Xenopus tropicalis: one gene and its partner. The protein of the gene in region 1 purifies or fractionates together with the protein of each later gene. This does not show direct contact. Links are inferred from orthologs where the notes say so. Each region holds a gene or a part of one and is shown on either strand. Other genes may lie near its edges.

What was found.
Region 2: the proteins of rad18 (region 1) and slf1 purify together in Homo sapiens (affinity purification with mass spectrometry; 4 studies listed by BioGRID and IntAct, with this or other methods). This does not show direct contact. The link is inferred for Xenopus tropicalis from reciprocal best matches to the Homo sapiens genes RAD18 and SLF1.

Annotation. Positions count from the first base shown.
Region 1 is NC_030680.2:131,548,647-131,552,488, reverse strand, and holds the start of rad18 (E3 ubiquitin-protein ligase RAD18), read left to right. Parts: upstream 1-758; 5' UTR 759-881; coding exon 882-935; intron 936-3,842. UniProt on the Homo sapiens protein: E3 ubiquitin-protein ligase involved in postreplication repair of UV-damaged DNA. Postreplication repair functions in gap-filling of a daughter strand on replication of damaged DNA.
Region 2 is NC_030677.2:177,668,813-177,672,637, reverse strand, and holds part of slf1 (SMC5-SMC6 complex localization factor protein 1), read left to right. Parts: intron 1-1,390; coding exon 1,391-1,504; intron 1,505-2,369; coding exon 2,370-2,445; intron 2,446-2,558; coding exon 2,559-2,802; intron 2,803-3,825. UniProt on the Homo sapiens protein: Plays a role in the DNA damage response (DDR) pathway by regulating postreplication repair of UV-damaged DNA and genomic stability maintenance.

The DNA of each region.
Region 1 (3,842 bases):
AAAGGGCCTGTCGCGCTGCACAAGGAGAAGCATAACGAAGCCGCAGACGAAGGCTGCGCCTATGGGAGGTACTGTGAATGGGGGGCTACTGTGATAAGGGGACACTGTGTATTGGGGGTACTGTGTATTAGGGGCTACTGTTTATAGGGGCACTGTGTATTGGGGGTTACTGTGTATAGGGGGCTACTGTGTATAGGGGGCTACTTTGTATAGGGGGCACTGTGTATGGGGGCACTGTGTATGGGAGACTACTGTGTATTGGGGGGTACTGTGTATGGGGGGCTACTGTGTATGGGGGGGCTACTGTGTATGGGGGTACTGTGTATGGGGGGGCAAAACTGGTACTTAGTTATAACTCACTTATAACTGACTGCCTTCTCTCTATACTTGTATTTTAATGTAGGAGTTGCTATATTGTTTTCCTTAGGTCGTTCAGTATGAGGGTATAGCACATTTTCGTCTGCGCCCGCCATTTGATCTATATAAAAGGGGTATTTTTTTAAAATGGAGTGTGGTAATTGGGGCGTGGCCACAAAAGGGGGCGTGATCAAAAAATTGCCTTGCTGCGCGCGCCAAATCTTTTTGTCCCTCTTTTCATTTTTCAAATGTTGGGAGGCATGCTACTGCTGTATCACATCGTATATTTCTTTGGATTTGGGGGACCTTTAAAAATGTTAAGATTTTATTGCAGGACACAGGGCGAATTCGCCTGCTTTAAGCCCATCCACACACCGCTTTGGCATATACCTTAGTGCTGTAGTTCCTCCTACAACTAGCTTGAACTACCTTTCCCGACATGCTTTGCGCACGATCACGTGACGTTGAGAGCAGCGCGGGAAATTTGGGGTAGCTCGGGTTTGGGTCGCTGTAATTCGGCTTCCATGGCAACCACACCAGAACCGGGATCTAAGGCAAAGGGCAAACAACCCGTGCAGGTAAGGTACTAGTGGCCAGTGCCGCGTACTGATAGGGTTTGTCAGTCATTGTGCCTCACAGGAAGTCCCGCCTGCCTGCACTCAGCGGCTTCTGTACAGCTGCCCTGGCTGCAGCATGTATATATACTGTACTGTGTAACCCTGAGTTATTATATGTATTGTATATACGAACTAGGAGTGCAGAGAATGCACACAGATATTGCTTTTAAAACCAATCACAAATAACTCTAAAGCCAATTGGATGGAGGTGTATTGGAAAGTTGTATACAATCTGGAGTGGAGTTTCCCTTTAGCAACAGTTGTCAGGCAGCAGTGTGGCATCCCTAATGTATTTGCACTTGTCCCCTTCAATGCCCCCCACTTCCTTCCCTCTGGCACAGTGATTTATATGGCCGCCCAGCTGCTACACAACATGTTTATGTTTCCTGGGGGGGGGGGAGTCATTGTTGGGAGGCGCAGATTTATTATTTCTGTAGCTCCATTTGGCCTCCTAGTGCAAGGCAACTGCAAATCACAGTAGGAAAGGGGACATAAACCGATAAATACAATCATGCCTAAGGAAAGAAAGAAAATTCGAAGCAACTTTGCGATATATTGCTTAAAGGGAAACGAAAGGCAAAATCACTTGGGGGTGCCAAAATGTTAGGCACCCCCAAGTGACTTTAACTGCTTACCTCATACCCCGGGCTGGTGCCCCTGTTAGGAGAAAACAGCACCAGCCCGGGGCACCTGTAGCTCATCGCTTCCTTCTTCCGGCTTCCGGCTTCCGTTGCTGGAATGCCAGCGGTGGGCGCATGCGCAGTAGAGTGAAAAGCCGTTAAGGGTTAAGTTCGGCTTTTTACTCTACTGCGCATGCGCGCGCAGCGAATCAGGAAGAAGCAAGCGCCGGCAGCTACCCCGGGCTGGTGCTGTTCTCTTCTCACAGGGGCACCAGGTAGGTGGTCAAAGTCACTTGGGGGTGCCTAACATTTTGGCACCCCCAAGTGACTTTGACTTTCTTTTTCCTTTAAAGGAACAGTAACACCAAAAAATGAAAGAGCTTTCAAGTAATAAAAATATAATGCACTGTTGCCCTGCACTGGTAAAACTGGGGTGTTTGCTACAGTAACACTACTATAGTTTATATAATAAGCTGCTGTGTAGCCACGGGGGCAGCCATTCAAGCTGGAAAAAAGGAGAAAAGGCACAGGCACATAGCAGATAACAGATAAGCTCTGTAGGATACAATAGTTTTATCTGTTATCTGCTATGTGCCTGTACCTTTTCTCCTTTGAATGGCTGCCCCCATGGCTACATAGCAGCTTATTTATATAAATTATAGTAGACTTTCTGAGGTAAACACACAACTTTTACCAGTGCAGGGCAGCAGCACATTATATTTTAGTTACTTTTATACACTTTCATTTTTTGGTGTTACTGTTCCTTTAACATTGTACGCAGTGTCGGTCTGTCCTGTTCTGAGTTTTTGATTCTCACATTAAACAATGTAACAGAATTTGGCTCTACCACAGTCAAGGCCTATTAAAGGGCACCTGTCACAAACATTTTGTTTCCCCCACCAGAGATGAATGCTAACAGAGCCCACATCTAGATGAGGAAAACGGTAGTATTTTTTGAAGGATAGTTCCCCCACTGTGGTGCTGTCAAGCCATGCTGGAGTGCAGCAAACAACATATTGAGCGAGTTTCCTGGCTTACTAAATATGTGCTTGGCTATGATTTTTGATCAGTCGACATGAATATTGTCTAGGCCTGGGCACTCTGCCCGTGTGTACACTATGCCCGTGTGTGCCTTAGTATGGCCTCCTGCACCGAAAATTGGTTCCTGGTGCAGGGAACGCTGCACTTAGATGCTTCTCCCTATGCATTCATGGAATGCTCAATATGCTTGTTGTACAATGCAGTGTTAAAGACAAGAGTGAACCAGGAAACTTGCTGATTGTGAAAGTTGCTCATTTTGTGCTTTGGTGTACCCTTGCCTTGCCAACTGCACTGGTAGTGGGCTCCAGGGCACAGCATTCCATGGGGGGCAAGTTCTTTAAACAGTTCTTATTTACTGTTTTGTTTTCCCACCTTGTCCACCTTTAATTATGACACCTCTGGTTTGCAGGAACAGCAATCCCAGTTTAATGGTGCTAGCAGATTGGGTAACTGGTCCGGGTGGGGTTTCAAAAATTTGAACTGTGCAGTAATGCAGGTTTTGTTGGCCTGCACCTCTGGTGGGATAAACATTTTAGTAATAGGTTGATTGGCTGGATTCTCTTACATTGTAAATGGGATTTATACTTGACAGCAGCAATGTAAAGAAATGCATCCTGGTGTTATACAGGTGGCAATTCTTTTCCATGGAGTAGTCAACAGAAATGGATCTTGGACTCAAAGGATCTAGTGTTTTCCAAGGCACTCGCTGCTTAACATAATGGTGCTGGCCATGAGCCAGTAAAGCAAATTGGGTGAAATTAAAGCTGGCAATACATTTACAGATCAAATCTTCATATGATTTTCTGTTTATGTATGGAGGCCTGCGAATCAGTTTTGGGATTGGGCAGGTGTGAAAATAAAAAAAAAAATTAAGAATAGCTGCCAGTCTTCCAATAAAAATAATATCTTTATTTGCTCAACTTAAAAATCTCACTGCCTTAATGCCTCTGTGTAAAAATATCCTCTGCCTATGTATTATGTCATGGTGCATTGTCAAATGAGGATGTAGAGAGGAGCTACAGTTCCTCTTCAATTTCTGATGTTCTATCTCTAATAATAATAATCATGCGTAAAAATTTACAGTTGTACAATTACACTTTGGAAAAAATGGTCTCCTTGCCAAATTGTCATTATTGTATTCTAATCTATTTCTTTTGTAAACCTAGCCGTACATGGAGTGATTTGTATGGTTGTAACTTGTTAACCA
Region 2 (3,825 bases), on another chromosome or scaffold:
GAATACGGTGCGCCAAATACAGAGAATGTGGAGCTTCTGAAGCGAGTCAGTGCAGCAGCCAGTGTTGTCAGTCAGGCACTGAATGATCTCCCTTCAACATGTTCTTCAGTTTGTCGTGGTATGACCAGGCTACTGACACCATCATATCAGTCACTGAGAGTATCTTCAGCTCCATGGGGGATGCAGGTAAATGTCATTGGCTTATTGTATTTTAGACAACTTGCTTCCTTTAATGCTTTTAATGCATTAGAGTGTGCTGATATTGGGGGAGAAGCATTCAGAAATAGTTATGGAATTTAGATTTTAATTACTTTCCTCCCTCAAACCGATGGGCAGTTTGAAAGGGAATACGGCACGCCAAATGCAAGGTATGATTCATTTACTACTTGCCAAAGTCACTATATCATATATAGCCAGGCAGCAAGAGGAACAAGTCAGTCACATGCAATTGTCAATTTAACTCGTATAGGTATTGGATAGGTAATACGGCGCTGCCCTTACTACTCGGACACAAGCTAGTGTGCAGGTGTGTTAAAAGAAATGGATGCCTAGGCTTATACTCGAGTCAATAAGTTTTTCCAGTTTTCTTAGGTAAAATTAGGTACCTCTGCTTATATTCGGATCGGCTTATACTCGAGTATATACGGTAATCCTTATTGGGGGCTAAACAAGCCTATTGGGTTTAAATGACATTTAAATGATTTTTTAGTAGACTTGAGGTATGGAGATCCAAATTACAGAAAGATCCCTTATATAGAAAGCCCCAGGTCCCGAGCATTCTGAATAACAGTTCCTATACCTGTATTCTGTAAAGTTGCATAGAATTACCTTTTCTTTCATTATGCAAATAAAACAGTTTTTGGGTGGGCATTTTGACTTCAATGATCTTCAAGTAAATATTAAAGCCCCTCTTTATGGACTGAGAATTTATAATTGGTTAATTTGTATGCTTGCGACAAACATTTATGCAATATTCAATCTCTTTAACTACTGGTAATTAACTGAATGTTTATCTTATTTATTTATTGTTTTATGTTATTGGCCAGCAACAGTAATTTTTTATATAATAAGGGAATGACCTGTTTTAATCTAATGAACCCCATCTCCGTAATCTGTATTTAATACATTTATACGTGTTTGATATTAAAATATGTTGTCGTTTTCTTAGTTTGATTTCAATAAATTTATTTTTTATTTCCCATGAGTCCACAGGTTTTTGGGGTGTCCGGTACCTTGGTTGTAACCCTTTGTATCATTGTTCTTGTTTGCAACTCTGACTATGTGGATACAACTGATATATATTTCAAGAACAAATTATCAACTCTGTTAGGGAAAAAAAACTGTAAATGTAAGTCTGTGTTTAATTTACAATGCGTTATTTAATTTGCAGATGGAAGTAACTTCAAGGAAACGTATTATTCAGTTCACGGGATTCAGGGACAAAGAAAAAGAATCTCTTGTTGAGCTGCTGTTTAAACTTGATTGTATATTTATTGACACTGAGGTAATCATACATTTGTATTATCATGCATGTTTTTTTGGTATGAAGGCAATGTTGCATTGATTAGAACAGACTTGCCCATCTGGCTTTCTGATGCTCGAGTGTTTGTATGACACAGCATTTCCATGTGCTATAGATCTGAGCTTTGGCTTGGCCTTTACAGAATTCTTCAGCTAGAATGTTTAGGGTAATTGCCATGTTTCAAGGTCCTCTTTTGATTGAGCTTTAATCTCCTGGCAGATGGTCTCACCCTCAGCCACACTCTGTACAAAAACCATGATTTTACAGTTTTTCATGAATCTTCGTGTACTTAAAGATGAAAAAAATAAACAACCAGGAAACTTCTTAAAGCACAAATTGGAAACAAAATTGATTCAATCTGCCTAGGACAACTCCAATTGATTTCTACATGTTTTTTACACAAAAAGTTAAAAAAAAAACAACAAATAATCGTGAAAAAAAATACAAACGTTAGTAAATGCCCCCCATAGTCTTAATGAAAGAGAAGCAGCACACTTGATTTATTTTGAAAAAGTGCCCAAAAGTGATTTATTGACTTACAGTGGCAAATATACTTATCTTTCATTAAGACCCTACCCAAAGGTTGACACCATAGATCAAACAGATTCCTAAAGTCACACAAAATGTAGAGTTGCCGCAGTTTCACCTATTATCCCTGCATCCACAATACAATGGAGACATAATTATTATAGGTTAATGTTTAATTAATAGTAATACTTGTTTAGGAAATCAATACAATAACGCATTTCTAAAAAAAACTGTACATTTCCTGTTTTGACAAGCTAATAGTTTTTCAGACAGATAGATCAATGACAGATACATATTTATCTTTTTTCTGATACTGTAGAAATTTGAAAACTGTACACATCTCATCGCAAAAAACCCATGCCGAAGTGAAAAGTGGCTTGCAGCTTGTTCAGCAGGTAACTTAATTTATAAATAGGTAATATTTTCATCGTTTTTTACCTAAAGGTTTTTTTTTTTGTTGTTGTTTTTTTTTTCTTATGTTTTGGCTCACATTTTGTTTGTTTCTCAGGGAAGTGGGTTCTGATTAAAGACTACGTAATTAACAGCGTACAGAGAGGCAGATGGCTTGACGAAACAATATATGAGTGGGGTTACAGAATTGAAAGACACTCCCCTTATTCACCCCAGATGCAATCTGCACCTAAAAGATGGCGTGAACACCTGACAAGAACTGGTGTTAAAGGGGCTTTTAGAAAATGGAAAGTGGCTATTCTTGTTGACAAGGGTCAAAAACAAAGGGAGGCATTTGAAAGGTAATGATGTTTTCTGAAATTTTGCTTTGATAAAAATACATTCCACTTCAGTGAAAATATAAAACATTTTGTCTAGCCAGTTATAAGGTCTAGTAGAAAGAGGCGTAAAGACAGCTGTACAAATGAAAGTTTCTTTGGTAAAAGTACGAATGACAGTATAATATTTTCTACTAATTACAACTACCTGAACATATATACCTATACCTACCCTGCGTTGCATGTTACTAAACTACATCTCCCATCATTCCACAAACTTCAAACAGTGGAGCAGTAATATATGTCAGCCAATCAATGATTAGCGTTTAATTACCTGTAGCCAGCTACAGGTAATTAATCAACTTGCCATGGCTTTCTGCCTAGATGCAAATTCACCAATTTTTTTATAAATGACCCCCTTCCCTCCTGTGTTTTTAGTATGATGTAGACCAGTGTTTTTCAACCTTTTTTGGGCAAAGGCACACTTGTTTCATGAAAAAAATCACAAGGCACACCACCATTAGAAAATGTTAAAAAATTTAACTCTGTGCCCAGCAGCAGTGCCCCCCTAGTACATTGGTGCCCAGCAGCAGTGCCCCCCTAGTACATTGGTGCCAAGAGCAGTGCCCCCCTAGTACATTGGTGCCCAGCAGCAGTGCCCCCCTAGTACATTGGTGCCAAGAGCAGTGCCCCGCTAGTACATTGGTGCCCAGCAGCAGTGCCCCCCAGTACATTGGTGCCAAGAGCAGTGCCCCCCTAGTACACTGGTGCCCAGCAGCAGTGCCACCCTAGTACATTGGTGCCCAGCAGCAGTGCCCCCCTAGTACATTGGTGCCAAGAGCAGTGCCCCCCTAGTACATTGGTGCCCTGCCTACGGCACACCAGGCAACATCTCGCGGCACACTAGTGTGCCGCGGAACAGTGGTTGAAAAACGCTGATGTAGACTTAGTTTGATTTAATTATATATTCAACAAGTAAAAATCTGGTTGCTAGGGTCCAATTTCCCCCAACAACCAAACAGCAGTTTGAATGAGAGACTGGATGAT